Linked DNA regions of Arabidopsis thaliana. The protein of the gene in region 1 purifies or fractionates together with the protein of each later gene. This does not show direct contact. Each region holds a gene or a part of one and is shown in the gene's direction. Other genes may lie near its edges. The genes, in order: CYCB2;2, GR-RBP2, AT4G38900 and EXLA1.

What was found.
Region 2: the proteins of CYCB2;2 (region 1) and GR-RBP2 purify together in Arabidopsis thaliana (affinity purification with mass spectrometry, with the first as the bait; one large-scale study listed by BioGRID). This does not show direct contact.
Region 3: the proteins of CYCB2;2 (region 1) and AT4G38900 purify together in Arabidopsis thaliana (affinity purification with mass spectrometry, with the first as the bait; one large-scale study listed by BioGRID). This does not show direct contact.
Region 4: the proteins of CYCB2;2 (region 1) and EXLA1 purify together in Arabidopsis thaliana (affinity purification with mass spectrometry, with the first as the bait; one large-scale study listed by BioGRID). This does not show direct contact.

The regions. Positions count from the first base shown.
Region 1 is NC_003075.7:16,899,708-16,904,660, forward strand, and holds CYCB2;2 (Cyclin B2;2), read left to right. Parts: upstream 1-1,888; 5' UTR 1,889-2,036; coding exon 2,037-2,100; intron 2,101-2,191; coding exon 2,192-2,327; intron 2,328-2,411; coding exon 2,412-2,471; intron 2,472-2,548; coding exon 2,549-2,702; intron 2,703-2,784; coding exon 2,785-2,922; intron 2,923-3,011; coding exon 3,012-3,101; intron 3,102-3,179; coding exon 3,180-3,401; intron 3,402-3,486; coding exon 3,487-3,585; intron 3,586-3,663; coding exon 3,664-3,842; coding exon of another isoform or gene 3,843-3,846; exon of another isoform or gene 3,847-3,911; coding exon 3,912-4,059; 3' UTR 4,060-4,294; downstream 4,295-4,953. Other genes in the region: AT4G35610 (zinc finger (C2H2 type) family protein), read right to left, coding at 1-518; PSAT (phosphoserine aminotransferase), read left to right, coding at 4,498-4,953.
Region 2 is NC_003075.7:8,018,943-8,023,091, forward strand, and holds GR-RBP2 (glycine-rich RNA-binding protein 2), read left to right. Parts: upstream 1-1,770; 5' UTR 1,771-2,077; intron 2,078-2,370; 5' UTR 2,371-2,371; coding exon 2,372-2,492; intron 2,493-2,589; coding exon 2,590-2,658; intron 2,659-2,740; coding exon 2,741-2,847; intron 2,848-2,943; coding exon 2,944-3,123; 3' UTR 3,124-3,534; downstream 3,535-4,149. Other genes in the region: AT4G13860 (RNA-binding (RRM/RBD/RNP motifs) family protein), read left to right, coding at 3,659-3,683, 3,779-3,847, 3,964-4,070. UniProt on the Arabidopsis thaliana protein: Promotes the cis-splicing and editing of several mitochondrial RNAs (including NAD5 transcripts). Plays a role in RNA transcription or processing during stress. Binds RNAs and DNAs sequence with a preference to single-stranded nucleic acids.
Region 3 is NC_003075.7:18,138,735-18,144,020, reverse strand, and holds AT4G38900 (Basic-leucine zipper (bZIP) transcription factor family protein), read left to right. Parts: upstream 1-2,070; 5' UTR 2,071-2,301; exon of another isoform or gene 2,302-2,411; 5' UTR 2,412-2,500; coding exon 2,501-3,699; intron 3,700-3,760; coding exon 3,761-3,911; intron 3,912-3,995; coding exon 3,996-4,080; intron 4,081-4,230; coding exon 4,231-4,457; 3' UTR 4,458-4,726; downstream 4,727-5,286. Other genes in the region: AT4G38890 (FMN-linked oxidoreductases superfamily protein), read left to right, coding at 4,921-5,199. UniProt on the Arabidopsis thaliana protein: Transcription factor that acts as a repressor of reproductive development, meristem size and plant growth. Regulates meristem size, cell size and cell number during plant development.
Region 4 is NC_003074.8:16,894,075-16,898,074, forward strand, and holds EXLA1 (expansin-like A1), read left to right. Parts: upstream 1-2,091; 5' UTR 2,092-2,163; coding exon 2,164-2,284; exon of another isoform or gene 2,285-2,320; coding exon of another isoform or gene 2,321-2,360; coding exon 2,361-2,655; intron 2,656-2,733; coding exon 2,734-3,115; 3' UTR 3,116-3,234; downstream 3,235-4,000. Other genes in the region: HTB9 (Histone superfamily protein), read right to left, coding at 3,418-3,870.

The DNA.
Region 1 (4,953 bases):
GTAGGAGGAGGAAGAAACCCTTGATAGTTTCTATCTCTATGAGCCCTCATATGCCCAAACACTGCCTTCCACGAACCGAAACCTCTTCCACAGATATGACAAACCGGTGGTCCTTTCGGTGGATGAGTCAATTCCTTTGCTTTCTTCTTCGGCTTTTTCGCTTCTCCTTCACCCAAACCATCCCCTTCGTCATCGGTTTGCGTAGATATCCTTGGTCTACTCTTTTTCTTCCCACCACTCCCACTTCCCTCATTCATTCCTTTCATAACCGCTTCCTCTGCCGCAGCCAAAATCAACCCCGCCGCAAGAACCGCTTGCTCATTCAAACGCGCTTTTTCTGCATCTTCCTCAACGACACTACTACTCTCTCCAAATATTCTACTGCTGATATTCAAAGCAGGGAGGCCGAGAACAATTTCTCTCATATTGGTTTCTTCATCGCTCCATTGCTCATCAGATTCCTCTTTCTCTTCCTCAGTAACATCCACTTTCGTTTTCTCTGGGTTCGGATTACTCATACTATTTTCGCACTTTAGTCTAGGGATTGATGTTTCAAAACGACATTGAATTAGCCCTTATATAAAGTTTTCTCTGAACCATGGCGGTTATGACAGTTAATTCCTCTCCCGCCTTTTCGTTTGAAGATTTGCATCCGTCGTTTGTGATTGGTCCGTCCTAAACTCTGATATTACGTAAATTTGGGCTTAATATCGTATAAAGCCCATTACTAGCCCATAAGTTATTCGTACTTGGTAGGTTGGTTCAAGAGTTTTTCTTGTTTTCTGTTTGTAATCGTTTCTCGTGCGTTTTTGGTCATCGAGATTGCAAGAGTCGTTGCAACTGCACTAATACTATTATGCATGTGACATCCGACAATGACGTGACTTGTAAACTTTTGTTTTGACATATTTTTTCTTTATTTATTATTACAATAACATTATCATTTTTTTTTTTTGGGTGGAAACATTATCATTTTTATTAGCCATTCTTTATTTATTCTATATGTTTTTACTATTTAAAATTTAAACATTGATGTATACCGGTAAACATAGTTTTCAATGTCAGAAGGAAGCTCTTGAAGCTATGTAATAAATCACAAATACAACAAATTGCAACACCAAAAAAAACTAATGTAACCATTGATGTGTGATATATGATATAGCGAAGCCGCAACTGTCTTAAATATTATTTTGAATAATATCTACACACTAGACTCTAACTAAACGTTTAACAGTTTTCTAAAAATGCAGATATAAAAAGTTATCTAAAATATTTCACATATTTGAATAAGAAATTAGAAACACAATCACCTTTTGACCATTCTAAGGAAATTCAATTACAATAACTATGACCAGAATCATCTAGCCTAATTTTTGATATTCTCTAAATTAAATATTTTTAAAAAGCTTGACCAAAAAAAAAGAAATGGCAAGAACACTTACTACAGAGTCAGCATAATTCTCGGTAACAATAATTCTTAGGAAAGAGAGCAATTCTTAGCTCTGTAGTAAAACACAGATTAATAAGCTAAGATTAAGATTAAAGAATCAATATGTTGACTTTAAGATCTTAGAGCCGCGCCTTACGGAGGCTCTGGCTAGTGGTAACGAGCCTTCTTTGTCTGAAAAAGGCAACAAAAAAAACACAAAAAAGGAATAATAAATTTGAAATGAGAAAGAGAGAGCCACCACACACACCACATGGCCAAAAAAGTTACCGTTGGGTTTAGACAGACTTAGAAACAAATCGTTTCCTTCATGATCCAACGGTCATCTTAATCACCTAGCCGTTGCTATTTCCTTCAATAATAAAAAAAAATAAAATAAAAAAAGGTAGCAACTTTAATTTTAATTGATTTGATTTAATTTCTCTCTCTCGCTTATTTCATCCCCTTCTCTGACTCCTACTGATTCATTCAATTGCATCAGACGTATACACAGAGTCACAGAGAGAAGAGAGATCCTTCTTCGTTTGATGCTCTTCTTCTTCTTCTAGATTCTTCTCCAGGAGCACTATCAAATCGAGTAAAATAAACAATGGTTAATCCAGAGGAGAACAATCGTAATCTCGTTGTCAAACCCATTACAGAGATTCTTCAAGGTAGTAGTAGTAAAACGCCTTTGAAAAATCTGAGAATTATAGGTCTGACGAACAGAGAGTCTGATGTTGTTTTGTTTCTGGGTTTTGTCAGATGATGATAAGAGAAGCAGAAAATTCGGTGTAGAGATGAAGAGACAGAACAGGAGAGCATTGGGTGTGATTAATCACAATCTCGTTGGTGCAAAAGCTTATCCTTGTGTTGTTAACAAGAGAAGAGGCTTATCTCAGTAATATACTTAACTCTCTCGAATCCTAAAGTTTGTCTCTTTGATTCTTGGTTTTGGGATTTTGATGATTATTTTCTTCAATAGGAGAAAACAAGAAAGCTGTGACAAGAAGAAGCTTGATTCATTGCATCCGTCAATTTCAAGGTTAATAAAGTTTAAAGCTTTCAAAAACGTTTCTTTTGCTGAGAAAGAGAGATCTGATGTTATTTGAATTTCTGCAGATCTCAGGAAGAGACTAAGAAGCTGAAACCAAGTGGAAACGAGTTTGGTGATTGCATATTCATTGATGAAGAAGAGGAGAAGAATGAAGAAGTTACATTGGACCAACCTATGCCAATGTCATTGGAGGAACCATACATTGAATTTGATCCAATGGTAATTAACAATCACTTTTCAAAAGATCTTTAGCTTTTTTCTTTTAATGTGAATTCTAAAGAAAGTTTTTTGATTTGGACAGGAGGAAGAAGTTGAGATGGAGGATATGGAAGAAGAACAAGAAGAACCAGTTTTGGATATAGACGAATACGATGCAAACAACTCTCTTGCAGCTGTTGAATACGTCCAAGATCTTTACGATTTCTACCGTAAAACCGAGGTACGGTTTCTTAATATGTCTCTGAACCAAAACCATAAGATTTTGAATTCGGACTGAGACAATTTTCCATGGATTTTGGTAATCTGCAGAGATTTAGCTGTGTTCCTCTAGATTACATGGCGCAACAGTTTGATATATCTGACAAAATGAGAGCAATACTTATTGACTGGCTCATCGAGGTATATTCAAGCACCTCTCAATGGTAATGGATTATTGTATATATAGAGGCTAATTAAGAAGCTTCTTGGATGTTTCAGGTACATGATAAGTTTGAGCTGATGAACGAGACATTGTTTCTAACAGTCAATCTGATAGATAGATTCTTGTCCAAGCAAGCTGTTGCAAGAAAGAAGCTTCAGCTTGTTGGTTTAGTTGCATTGCTCTTAGCTTGCAAGTACGAAGAGGTTTCAGTACCTATTGTTGAAGATTTGGTAGTCATTTCGGACAAAGCTTATACGAGGACCGATGTTTTAGAAATGGTAAAATAAGATTGTTTCTTTCCAAAAACTCGGTAAAAAGATTATACATTTGATCTGATTTCAATAATATAATCTTTGTGTGCAGGAGAAGATTATGCTTAGTACTTTGCAATTCAATATGTCGTTACCAACGCAATACCCTTTCTTGAAGAGGTTCCTCAAGGCAGCTCAATCAGACAAGAAGGTAAAGAAACAAATCTATCAATGTACACAATAATATAAATGGATTGTGAATTACAAACTAATCTTGTTATTGAAACAGCTTGAGATCTTGGCGTCGTTCTTGATTGAGCTTGCTCTTGTGGACTACGAAATGGTTCGGTATCCACCATCGTTACTCGCCGCCACTGCCGTGTACACAGCTCAATGTACAATCCATGGCTTCAGTGAATGGAACAGCACTTGTGAATTCCATTGTCACTACTCTGAGAATCAACTCCTGTAAGTCTCTTTTACCCATTAGCACCTATAAAGACTCATCTTTGTAACTAATATGGGTTTGTTTTACAGAGAATGTTGTAGAAGAATGGTGAGACTACATCAGAAAGCTGGGACTGATAAACTAACAGGAGTACATAGAAAATACAGCTCCTCCAAATTCGGATACATAGCAACAAAGTATGAAGCTGCACACTTTCTTGTGTCAGATTCTCACTAAAGAGTGGAAAATAGTAGTTTGTGTATAGCTCGCTGCTAACATTTTCCCTCTCAATTTTTAATTACAAACGAAATAAGTTCAAAACATTCCTCTGATTTGATCTGTAACAAGTCTTTCTTTTATTGATATCTCAGCAATAAAATTCTCTTATACCAATCATATTTTTTGTCAATAGTTACAGATTCATAGAATATGTATGATATAAGGATGAGAGTTTTGATTTGAACTCTTTTTCTTCTACAACTTTAAATAAAACACATTGGAAATGAGTCTTAACTATACTAACACCGCAGACAAAACTAGTACCACCTAACACAAACGCTGTCGTTTTCAAGCTACATTTATATATCTCCCACCAACTCTTTCTCAGATCTTTTGTCTAAGTAAAAGCGAAAAGGGCAACAAACAAAAATAAACTCGGAGAATCTCACAACAATCATGGCGGCTACGACGAACTCTTTCCTTGTCGGAAGCAACAACACTCAGATTCCTGCTTTGAAACCCAAATCATCATCTCAATCCTTTCTTCACCTCAGCAAACCAAACACCGTCAACTTCGTCAGCAAAACCAAGCCCGTCGCTGTTAGATGCGTCGCTTCAACGACTCAAGTTCAAGATGGAGTTAGATCCGGCTCCGTCGGATCCCAAGAACGTGTCTTCAACTTCGCGGCGGGTCCAGCCACTTTGCCTGAGAACGTTCTCCTAAAAGCTCAGGCGGATCTATACAACTGGCGTGGATCTGGCATGAGTGTGATGGAGATGAGTCACAGAGGCAAAGAGTTTCTCTCGATTATACAAAAAGCTGAATCGGATCTTCGTCAGCTTCTCGAGATTCCTCAGGAATATTCCGTTTTGTTCTTACAAGGTGGTGCCACTACTCAATTCGCTGCTTTA
Region 2 (4,149 bases), 8.9 Mb from region 1:
ACTTACCTCCAGATTAGTTATCGGGCTTGACACGGAAACTAGTACCATAGAAAATATATATGCACTTAACATAACAGAAAAAAAAAAAAAAAAACATAACAAAACAACCATTGGTAAAGTATGTGATTTTAAGCTAAGGCAATAATTCAAATGTGTTAGTCATCTCAACTTATTATTTTATCCTATTCCTTAACTGAAAAAATAATAATCTTATATAGTATAGTACTTTTTCATAATCTATAATATTACATTGTTGTTGGTCTCTAGTAATTTATATTCGATAGACTATCCACACAAAAAAAAGAGTAGTTAATCATCTCAAACATTTTAATATGTTTTGTCGCCACTTTAAAATTTGATTATTTCCATCAACATCAATATTTTCAATTGTACAAAATGAATCAGAGCTTTGATAATAATACTATTAGGATGGTTTATGAGATAAAACAGTATTGAAATTTAAATTAGCAACGATAGAAAACGGACACAACAACAAATCATGAATTATTTTTCACAACAATTTATTTATTGCTACCGTAAGAAATTGTTTGAAGTAAACCTCAGAATTAATCCATGACCAAACATCAAAAACCAAAATGTTAAAATTCAGAAATAGAAAGGATTGGTCGACTTTCACTATCTTTCTTCTTCTTCGCTTGTGTTACTTTGGGATGATCTTCCAGTATTCCATAAACACTTATTTATTTAAACGAATGAAAAATACCATTTTAGATTCTCCCAAGCAAACTAAACCAAAGCTATTACCAAACTAATTTAAACCAGAACAAACCAGCTATATATTCTCTAATAGAAACCCTATGCAGTTTCAAAGTTTTTTTTTTTTCCTTTTGTGTAGCTTTCATGTAGCAAGGTTAATGTTTACTAGTCATGAATTGAAATGAGTATTGAGAATAAAGAAATATATCAAGAAATAATTATATAGAAACTGAAAAGGATGTAACATATATATAAAGAGATGCCACATGAATTGAAATTGGTGGAACATTAATCTATAACCGTGAATAAGGTTGCTATATTCAAGACATTAAAAATCAATCAGGACCACTACACATGGATGTTAAGACGAACTTAAGAAGATTGTGACTATATTTGAGTTTTACATGAATATATACAACGATCCATCATTTTTTCAGAAGCAGTTAGCAAAAATGAAAATAAATTCATCACTAACTAGAAAAACAATAATGATATATATATAATTATTGCCACAAACATTTCGTAGACGATTTTAACTGTTAGAGGATGCATAATCTTTTTCTTCCTAACATGTTATTTCTATGTGAACACAAGTCTATAGGTTGGGAGAGTTGAGAAAATTTAAGTTTTTAGGTTTATCAAACAAAAAAACGATCAACTTATGATTTTGAGCAAACAATAACAAGTACGAAAGATTTTTGTTAGGAAGCAGATTGAAAACTTTTATTATCATGTTCAATATTAAAATCATAAGGTAACCTATATGTTAAAAATAAAAATTTAGTCTTAGTGAATTATATCTCACTACTTATTACGAAATTCATAAAATGTAGTCTAGTTTTAGTGAATCATACAATTTTGTTTGTTTTTGTTTCTGAAAATTCATTTCTTTTCAATGAATGGCCCATCAACGACAATTATCCGTTTAACATGGATTTTGAAGCCCAGCAATCAATATGGGTTTCCAAGCCCAATACAAAAAGTCTTATTTTTAGCAATATAAATCAGATAAAATAGGGCGAGGAAAACTAAAATACCAAATTGGATAAATCAGAAAAAAACTAGTTCCTCTACGCCGACTACATCGTACACTCAAAAAGATTGGTACCACAAGAACTGATTTACACAGACTCTGCTACGTGTACAACTATTTTACCCTTTAGTACACAGTAAAAATATACACGTACACACACCAGATTAAATTATTTAGCGAGAAAAAAAATCCTGAAAAGAAAATGAGATATTTTTTAGTGAGCTTTGTATATAAAGCCCCTTAAACCCTACTCCTTGGCTTCATTCTACATTTCCTCTGCCTCTTTCTCAGATCACAAAACCCTAATTTCGAATCTTTATTCTTCAGGTACCATTTCTTCACCATCTTCGATCTCCTAAGCTTTACTATGTTTCTGTTTTGTTTAATTTCATGGTGAATTCGTTTCTAGTGTGTCTCTGTTTTGTGTTCTCGTTTCAATTTGACTGTAAGGGATTTAGAGCTTAAAATTACTCTTATGTATACTTTGAATATAGATCTACTTGTTTTGGATCAGCCCATCTCGTTGAATTGATGATTTAGTCTTAAAGTTAGGGTTTTTATTAGTATTGATTTATAACAGTTGATCTGATCTGATTCTGTGTGTTTTTGGAACTTTGTAGAATGGCTTTCTGTAACAAACTCGGTGGTCTATTGAGACAGAACATTTCTTCTAACGGAAATGTTCCGGTTACGTCTATGCTCGGATCTCTCCGGTTGATGTCTACCAAGCTTTTCATCGGAGGTAAAATCTTATTGTTTTTGAGTCAGATTGAAGAGTTACTTCACTTTAGTGTTGCTTGAATTAGTACTGAGACTTTTTTATATATTGATTGCTTTAGGTCTCTCATGGGGAACCGATGACGCATCCTTAAGGGATGCTTTTGCTCACTTCGGTGACGTTGTTGATGGTAAGCTACACTTGTTTTTGGTATAATTGAGTAAGAGTTTGTGGAGATGAACTAAAGTTTTGTTTTTTGAAAAATTGTGCAGCTAAAGTTATCGTTGATAGAGAGACAGGAAGATCAAGGGGGTTTGGATTTGTCAACTTCAATGATGAGGGTGCTGCAACTGCTGCCATATCAGAGATGGACGGAAAGGTTTGTATTGAATGTATCAGTTAGTTTATAGCTGTAATGGTAATTGTATCTGTTTAATGGTTTACTTAATAATGTTTATGGGTTTTGGAATTTCAGGAACTGAATGGTCGTCACATCCGAGTGAATCCTGCTAATGATAGACCAAGTGCTCCACGGGCTTATGGAGGTGGTGGTGGATACAGTGGTGGAGGTGGAGGCTACGGAGGAGGTGGTGGTGGGTACGGAGGAGGAGGTGGTGGCTATGGAGGAGGTGGTGATGGTGGTGGTGGTTTCTAAACAGAGGAGGTGCTTGTGAAGAAGAAGAGTTAATGGTTCTGTTTAGTTGGTTTCTTCTATTGAATCTTATGTTAGTACAAAACCTGAATGGGATTTGCTGAAAACTCTTTACTCTTTTTTTGGTTACCAATCAATTCGGTTTAATATTTTATTGCCCCCATTAGGTGCATTCTAATACGTCTTACCATTTCTTTCATTCACTTGTGCTTATATACCATTTCACTCCTGTCCTATACATAACTTCGATTCAAGTTTCATCTTTTGTGTCGTGATTCACGTTTAAACCATTTGAGGTGGAAAACTTTTATACAAAGTCAAAGCCGATACACATCATGAAAGCAGAGAGCGACAACATTTGATTCGCTATTAATGATTCTATAATTCCACATGATTTATTCGCTATATTAAAATACTATCGTCCACCTAAACTTGTTTTCCATGGCTCCATTCTCTATTCCTCCAAAACTCCTAATTTTGTGTCTACTTAAACCTAACTTTGACATACATCTGTCTTTGTTCAAGATCAGCTTAAAACATGGCTACCAGGGTTTACGTCGGAAGTAATTATTTCTTTCTTTTAGTAGATGTTCATTTTTCAAATTTGTTTTCTCAAGTTTTATTTATTTATTTGAAAGCTTTGTTACGATTGCTTCAGATCTCTCACCGACCACTACCGATGATATGTTGAGGGAAGCCTTTTCCGGCTACGGAAACGTAGTAGATGGTAAAAGCCTTTTGGATCGCCCTCCAATTAATATTTCCGAGTTTCTTGTTTATGTTGTTGAGTGTGGTTTAAGTTTCTCAGTTGTCACTACACCAAAATTATTATTGTTTGTGCAGCAATTGTAATGAGAGACAGATACACAGATAGGTCCAGGGGTTTTGGATTTGTCACATACAGCAGTCACTCCGAAGCTGAAGCAGCCGTGTCTGGGATGGATGGAAAGGTTTGGATGGCTCTATTTGTGGTATAATAGTTGTGTGTCTGTCTATATGTGGTCAGACTTAGTATTGCTTTCGTTTTAA
Region 3 (5,286 bases), 1.2 Mb from region 1:
TTGTTATGGCATATGGGTATATTTTGTGTGTTTATATAGTCATATATAGTTCCGAACTTCAAGTAAATAAAGAAATTCGTTTGGCCAAATTTGTTGTTAAAAAACTTTTTTTTCTTTATATTAGGGTTGAACTTATTTACAGAAAAGTATATTAGGTGGATTATATTTGATTATTCAAGTTTTTTTTCGTAAGCCAAATCTGAAGAAAACAAAAGTTGCTTATCAAAGAGGCAAAGAGTATATTCGTTTTATAGGAGAATGTAATATTCCAAACTTTGGATGTGCATGGTTATGGATGTTGTAGCATTTGCATTTGCCGAGAATTATAAAGATACGTATACCAAATAAAATACATGAATTTCTCGAAAGCCAAAATAAAAATTTGCTCTAAACTCTTAATTTGTGATGCAGGCATAATATTGTTTGTGAAATTAATTCAAACGTGATCAAGACGAACACTGCCCCCACTTATATTAATCTGATTAATATGTTTGGCCCACGTTTAGATCGGTAGATCATATCCGTTGCACATACAAACTTTACATAATTACTCAATCAAACAATTTTATTTCTTAAACCACCGTGGTTTGATTTTTAAAACGTGCATTATAGTTTCGTTAATACTCCAGTATAGTGATGTTATTCGGTTCCTGTTAATTAATTGTAACACGACCATTTATGATATGACTACGACTTAATCCACGTGATTTAACACCTTAATTACGACTTTCAATTATCATTTTCACACGCTGTTCTATGTCTTCTATTAATTTCTTAAGGAACAAAAATACTAGTAGTTCATTTAAATAAGAAAATCATTGGTTATCTTTGATTATTTTGATGTCAAATCTATATTTGAAACTGAATTTTTTTACAAAAATAGAAAATTTCTTAAAACGTGCATTGTAATTTGATTTCTTTTAAAAAATTAAAATAAAAAGAATTGACGCAACAAACCGCGGGTAGTGCGACTAAACACCTAGTAAAATACTATAATCGTAGAATCAAATAATGATATGTAGATATTTACGAGAAACATGGAGGGAGGTGGTTATAAAGAGTCAATATTTGTTGTGTGGTGGGGTTCATCTAATTAAAAGCAAATGAAGTATATAATTATATTGATAGGTGAAATCTAGATCTTAGAAATTGTTTACAAAGATTGTAAACTCTGGTTACCACCGTTTAGAACATTTTTGCACCAAGCCTTGAAACGGTTGATAGATTAATCACCAAAATGAACGAACCTATCTGTCATCGTCCTTACATAAATAAACGATGAAGCACGAGATCAACACAGACGATCTCTAAAATTCGTAAACAAAGAAATTATTGGTGTAGACAAATAAGTCGGGAACAAATCATTCAATATGGCGGTCCATTACATATTATTTAAAGAAATATATAAGTAAGAGAGGCATAATTAAAGAAAATACAAAGAATGGCTTTTTACATTGTACATGACAACATAAGGAGGACAGAATCTTTCGTCTAGACAAGAATGTCAATTGTGGTCGGAATAGAATTGAATCTCAAATCCATATTCAAATCATCAAAAATAAAAAGAAACATTTTCGCTAAATGGTTTTAACTTCCATTTCGGATGACAAAGAATATTATTCCTAAAATTCATTTTGTCAAACCAGTAATATTGTGAAACTAAACAAGTTTTAGATCTTTATCCAAAAAATAACCGTATATATATACAATGTAATCATATGAATGAGGAATATATATGTTAAATTCGTATTTGATACTCAATATACACAGATTTTTACTTAAAAAAACATTTGAAATAAATGGCTAAAAAATAACAAATCCAAATTTATATAAAGTTTTGGATAGAATTGCATTAAATAGAAAATCTTGGGAGGTTGTGGTAAATTCACGCGTCTTGTTGGGTGTTTTTATATTTCTTCTTTTTCTCTTACTTCTCATGAAATCCGTGTCTTTTGTTTTTCTTTGTTACTAGTACTACTTTAGAGTTTACACTGTCTTGCTCGTGTCAAAAAAGAAAAAAAAAAGTCGTCGTCTCTATCGAGTTTTTTTTTACTATTCTCTCTCGAGAAAAAAAAAATCAAAGGGGAGAGAAAATTGCGGAGGAAAAAAGAAAAGAAAGAGAAAATGGCTCTGTGATTCTCCAATTTCTATAGAGAGAGAGAGAAGAAGAAGATTGATTAGATAAGTTTCTTAATTCAACGTTGAGAGACAGAGAGAAAAAAAAAAAAAGATTTTGTCATTCTTCAAAATACGTTCTCGCCATTTGCGCCATTGATTAATTCAAGTGCGTTGAAGTTAGAGGTAACCACCAACTTGCATTTTACTCTCCAAAGCTCTGATTTTTCTGTCAAATTCTTTTGAAAACTTTGATGCTTGTTTTCTTCTCATCATTGATTCTTTTTTGATGATAGGTTAGTTCTACACAAAGCTTGATCTTTTAGGGGTTTTCTCTAGTTATTGGAGAGTGGTGAGAATTAGAAACTGCATTATCCGATCTAAAATGGGTGATACAGAGAAGTGTAACAGTGATATGATCCAGAGACTTCATTCATCTTTCGGCACTACTTCTTCTTCCATTCCCAAAAATCCCATTTCTCAGCTCGATTTAAACCCTAATTTCATCCGCTCATCAGCTCCTCAATTCTCCAAGCCTTTCAGTGACAGTGGCAAACGAATCGGTGTTCCTCCGTCGCACCCCAACTTAATCCCACCGACTTCTCCGTTTTCTCAGATCCCGACCACCCGACAACCCGGTTCGCATAATTTTAACCCGGGAGGAGCTAATCATTCACGGTCAATGTCACAGCCCAACTCTTTCTTCTCTTTTGACTCCTTACCTCCGTTAAGCCCTTCTCCGTTTCGAGATCACGATGTTTCAATGGAGGATAGAGATTCCGGCGTGTTTAACAGCAACCATTCGTTGCCTCCATCGCCGTTCACGAGGTGTAATTCGACCTCTTCTAGCTCCTTGAGAGTCGGTGAGAGTTTACCTCCGAGAAAGTCTCATAGACGCTCCAACAGTGATATCCCCAGTGGGTTTAATTCGATGCCTTTGATCCCTCCGAGACCATTGGAGAGGTCTTTTTCTGGTGGGGAGTGTGCTGATTGGTCAAAGTCTAATCCTTTTGTGAAGAAGGAATCGAGCTGCGAAAGGGAAGGTGTCGGAGAGAGAGAAGCTATGGATGATCTCTTCTCAGCATATATGAATCTTGAAAACATTGATGTGTTGAACTCCTCTGAAGCTGATGATAGCAAGAACGGTAATGAGAATAGGGATGATATGGAGAGCAGCAGAGCAAGCGGGACCAAGACTAACGGTAGTGATACGGAAGGAGAGAGCAGCAGTGTCAATGAGAGTGCCAATAATAATATGAATTCTTCTGGTGAAAAGAGAGAGAGCGTGAAGAGAAGAGCGGCTGGAGGAGATATTGCTCCTACCACCAGACATTACAGGAGTGTTTCAGTGGACAGTTGTTTCATGGAGAAGTTGTCTTTTGGTGATGAATCTCTAAAGCCGCCTCCTTCTCCTGGATCTATGTCAAGGAAAGTTTCCCCTACCAATTCGGTTGATGGGAACTCGGGTGCTGCTTTTAGCATCGAGTTCAATAACGGTGAGTTTACTGCAGCGGAAATGAAGAAGATCATGGCAAATGATAAACTAGCAGAGATGGCCATGTCTGACCCTAAACGTGTCAAAAGGTACAAATATTGAATCTTGACTAACATTACCGGTTTATAATCAAATATTCTGATGTTTAAGGAATGATCCTCTTTTCAGAATCTTAGCGAACCGTCAATCCGCAGCACGGTCAAAGGAGAGGAAGATGCGGTACATAGTAGAATTGGAACACAAAGTGCAGACTCTTCAGACCGAGGCTACCACATTGTCTGCTCAGCTCACACTTTTGCAGGTGCGTTGTTTACAATGTTATAAAAGCGCCTAGATTGGTCAATTTTTGTTTTGTTCTAACGATCTTAGTTACTGCATTATCCAGCGCGATATGATGGGGTTGACAAATCAGAACAATGAGCTTAAGTTCCGGCTTCAAGCAATGGAGCAACAAGCGCGTCTTCGCGATGGTATACATTTCTCTTCACATTGTATCAAATTTACGATATTATTAACATGACTTTAACAAAAAATGGAACCAGATCCTATATGCTTTAAAAAAATCTCCATTTTTGCGCTTAACGAATGTGAAATGACGATTTTTTTCCCCCGCTTTGCAGCTCTGAACGAAGCACTGAATGGAGAAGTCCAGCGACTGAAACTGGCAATCGGTGAGAGCAGTCAGAACGAATCAGAGAGATCAAAGATGCAATCACTCAACGCTGAGATGTTCCAGCAACTCAACATCAGCCAGTTAAGACAGCAGCCACAACAGATGCAGCAACAGTCTCATCAGCAGAACCACCAGAATGGAACCATGGCAACAAAATCTGAATCAAATGAATAGAGCAGAGAAGTTGTTGCGGTGGATCAAAGGGTTGGAGTTTTTCAACAAGTTACATATCAAATCAAACATTATATTTCATTTATGTGCAGAGTCAGTTGAATTTACATATATATCATATAAGTCCAAGAAATTTAATTTTACAATATGTTGTTATCTTAGAAAGAAAAAATTCAATTTATAGTAGATATAGGTATGAACTATGAACACAAGTTATATGTAATGGGATTGATTGAGCTTCAGACAAAAAGATTCTCTGTTTGTTTTGTTTTTAGTTTTTAATTTAGTCTTGGATTCTGTCTCTTTTTGTTGGTTTGTTTATTTTAACATTATGGGCCGGTTTTTGGCCCATTAAACAGCATCCCAAAACATTGTTGCCTTCTTCGTCTCTCTCTGTGAATAATATCTAAAACCCTAACAAACACTATCACTCACTTCATTTTCGTGACGACGGAGCTTGACCGCTATGTCAGATGTAATAGCGGAGCACGCGGTGGATACTAGTGTTGAAGGAGATGCAAAGGCTGCGTTACCGGTTCAATCGACGAAACAGTTCTCTGTGTATGAAGCGACTTCGGAAGAGCTTATAGAACGATCAATGGCTCCTATTAAGAAGGAGTTCCTTTGTCCTCCTCCTCCAAGCCGTTCCGTGAAGCAAAATGATGCCGCCGATGTTAGGGCGCCTCAATCGGGTTTGGTTCAGGAGAAGAAATCTAAACGACAACTGAAACGGGAACGCCGCGAGGTATTGATTCGAATCACATCGGTGCTTGTATGTATAGCTTCGAATCTATCTATGTTTTAAGAACTAGTTTTTTTGGCAACTGAAACC
Region 4 (4,000 bases), on another chromosome or scaffold:
AAACAATAATGTATGGAAAGGTTTAAGATAGGTCAAAGAAGAAACTGTTGTGTCTTTATATAAATTAGTAAGGAAACATAGTCAAAAAGGTTTCGTGGTGTAGTTGGTTATCACGTCAGTCTAACACACTGAAGGTCTCCGGTTCGAACCCGGGCGAAGCCATTTATTAATTTTGATTTTTTTTTGATAAATTTCCGGTTCAAATATGCGTTGAACGTAGAGATTTGATTGAATCTGAAATCTAAAAATCGCAGGCTTAAGTTAGTACTTGAATCATTGTTATATTCGCAGTTATCTTGAGATTTTCGTACTGTACATTTCAATATTTTATCCATCTTGATACATTTACATATGTTGTGATTTATAATTAGCTAGAAAATCCCCTCACAAATAACTATTTAACTAAATGGAAATCAATCAAAGATAATGTCTCATTCTCATCTATAAAGTCTTAAGCATCTCTTCAGTGAAATTTCTAAAGTTAAAGCTGGTGATATATACATCTATCCTATAGGTTTCAAGTTTTTTAGTATGTCAAGCAATGCAACCGCTGCAATATAAGTGCAACTATTTTGAAAATAAAACATTTCTAATGTCATTTGAAGTGGCTTGAATGAACCCAACTACACGATGGACTCACTTAAACAATACTCACCTCACTGGACTCCTTTAAAGCCCGCACCACTAAAAAAAATATACTCTTCTTGTTACTAGACATTAGCCTATACCAAATCCCATTAGCCTTAATTTTCGATATGCATCATTAATAAAAGTCAGTGGTTGATAAAGAAATCTTACACACAAAAAAAACTTATATATTGTATATCCCGACAATGAAAAAAAAGAGATATAGAGGGGAGTATTATGAAGATATCTTCACATGTAGTAATCAATGCCGTATGAGTCGTTCTCACATGGATGTTTTAAGGTACCAATCTTTGAATATTTTGAAGATTTCAATAACTCAAAATCAACAAAATCTAACATACAAACTTTTGACATGTCCGAATTAATACTAACACATGTATCGATAGAGTTTAGTGATAAATCACTTAGCCCTAATGCTCTACATCTAATTATTAAATGTGTAGACTTTCATTTTTATAAGCTGGTTTGTTAGTGGAAATGAGTTGTTATGAACTAAATCCTAGCTAATCCCTAGGGAAAAAAAACTTGGGTAGATTTTTCATTTTAATTAACGAACGATACAAAGACGTGTGTAGAGTCTATAGACGAAGTGATGAAAAGGGTTTAGGCAAAAAGAGAAAGATAGAAAGAAAGTGAAATTGGTTTTGGAATTTGTTCTTATCTTTCCCCTACTTCCCAAAGCAATCCCGTTTTTCAGGTTTGTCTCTATTATTAAAATTCATTCTTAACTTGATATGGTAAGACGTGTTTATAGATACACTTACTGATTTTATAATAAAAATGCAAGGATTTTTGAAATCTGTTAAAATCAAATCTTTATCAAAATGTAATAAAATCAATAAACGAGGAATACCATATTTCAAAAGTATTAAGCGAATAAAAACACGATTTTATTTTTAAAAACTTTGGTATCAACGTTATGATAACACATGATTATGTTTAGATTTTTAAATCAATTAAAATCCGATAACTCTCACTAATATTTTTCTTTTATATGTTTTAGTTGGCACAAATTAAAAAAAAAATCTATCCCAAATTTTTTAAATATATGTATTATTATTGGTTAGGTTTTAAAAAAGAACAAATATGGGTTATTTCGTTTATTAATTAGTTTCGACACTCTAACAAATGTTTTGTCCCTTACCTAAAGAGAAGACCGTCATGAACAAAGCAAAGAAAAGAGTCGGTGTAACGCCACATCATCCCATGACTCATATTGGTAAAACTATCTTCTCTCTTTCACACTTCTTCTTTTTACTTTGGACTAATGATTTAATCAAAGATGTCATTTTAACATATATGTATAAAACGCGTAATTGGGAAGATACACACACACACATACCAGCTATGACGTGACAGTGTGTGTTAGATATTGAGATGATGAGCTGGCATCAACCTCTCTATAGTCTCTATATAATCCATTCTTTGTCCTCTCTTCTCTTTACATGTAAATTCACATATCTCTCTCTCTTATTTGATCATAAAGATATTATTGCTTCTTCAAGTAAACAAAAAATGGGAAGCTTTCTCTTCCTCATCGTAGTCATCTTCCTCTTCTCTTCATCCGTTAACGCTTGTGATCGATGTCTTCACCGTTCTAAAGCAGCTTATTTCTCCTCTGCCTCTGCTCTCTCTTGTAAACATTTTAACTACTTCTTTTTTAACTATCTGTATGTTTCTTTTCTCATGTCTTGTTTATGTGTTTTTTGCAGCTGGAGCTTGTGCTTATGGCTCTATGGCTACGAGTTTCTTCGCCGGACATATCGCTGCAGCTATCCCTTCTATCTACAAAGACGGTGCTGGCTGTGGAGCTTGCTTTCAAGTCAGATGCAAGAACCCTAAGCTGTGTAGCACTAAAGGAACCATTGTGATGATCACAGACTTAAACAAGAGTAACCAAACCGATCTTGTCCTTAGTAGCAGAGCTTTTAGAGCTATGGCTAAACCTATTGTTGGTGCTGACAAAGACCTTCTCAAACAAGGCATTGTCGACATCGAATACCAAAGGTTCGATTCTCAAAACACCTAAACTCTTTGGTTTTCTTAATCACACGATATTAACTTGGTCATCAAAAAAAAAAACAGAGTTCCTTGCGATTACGGCAACAAGAACATGAACGTGAGAGTAGAAGAAGCAAGCAAGAAACCAAACTACTTAGAGATAAAGCTTTTATACCAAGGAGGTCAAACAGAAGTAGTATCCATCGACATTGCTCAAGTCGGTTCATCGCCAAATTGGGGTTACATGACAAGAAGCCACGGAGCTGTTTGGGTAACTGACAAAGTACCCACCGGAGCTATCCAGTTCAGGTTCGTAGTAACCGGTGGATACGACGGTAAAATGATTTGGTCACAGAGTGTTCTTCCATCCAATTGGGAAGCTGGGAAAATTTACGACGCCGGTGTTCAAATCACTGACATTGCTCAAGAAGGTTGTGATCCTTGCGATGCTCACATCTGGAACTAAGTTATTTAGTGGCACACAAACAAACATCTTTCATAGGTTTATATATAATGTGTGACAGAGGTTATTAATGAACATAGTTAAAGAATGCTTAATCTAATGATTCTCATGATTCTACATTGATTAAACAAGAGAACAACATTGAGCCATTAACAACCAGAACTTTTGATTCGAAGACAGATTCATAAGATTACTTTACAACGGAGAATGATAATTAAAGCTTAATAAAACGAAAGAGAAATCCTAACACAAGTTATGACAACATCAGAATCAAATTCAGAGTATACAAACCCTAATTTACTAATTCAAGAGCTTGTGAATTTGGTAACAGCCTTGGTTCCTTCAGAAACAGCGTGTTTAGCGAGCTCACCAGGAAGAACGAGTCTAACAGCAGTCTGAATCTCCCGAGAAGTAATCGTCGGCTTCTTGTTATACCTAGCGAGCTTTGAAGATTCCGATGCCAATTTCTCGAAGATGTCGTTGATGAAACTGTTCATAATACCCATAGCCTTGCTTGAAATACCAATATCTGGATGAACTTGTTTCAGAACCTTGAAGATGTAGATCTTGTAAGTTTCCACACTCTTCTTCTTCATCTTCTTCTTCTTATCGCCGCCGGCCCCGGCTTCCTTCGGGAGTTTCTTGCCGGCTTTTGGTTTCTTCTCCGCCGGAGCTTTCTCGGCTTTTGATTTCTCCTCTACTGGTTTCTCGGCGGCTGGTTTCTTCTCCGCGGGCTTCTTCTCTGCTCTCGGCGCCATTGTTTTGACTTTTGTTTTACTTTTCTGGGTGAAGAAGAAGAAGCACAGATCTGAGTGATTTTGATATCTAATTTGATGAAGACGAGTTTTGATTTTATAGTAGTTAGAATAATTGATATGATTGGTTATT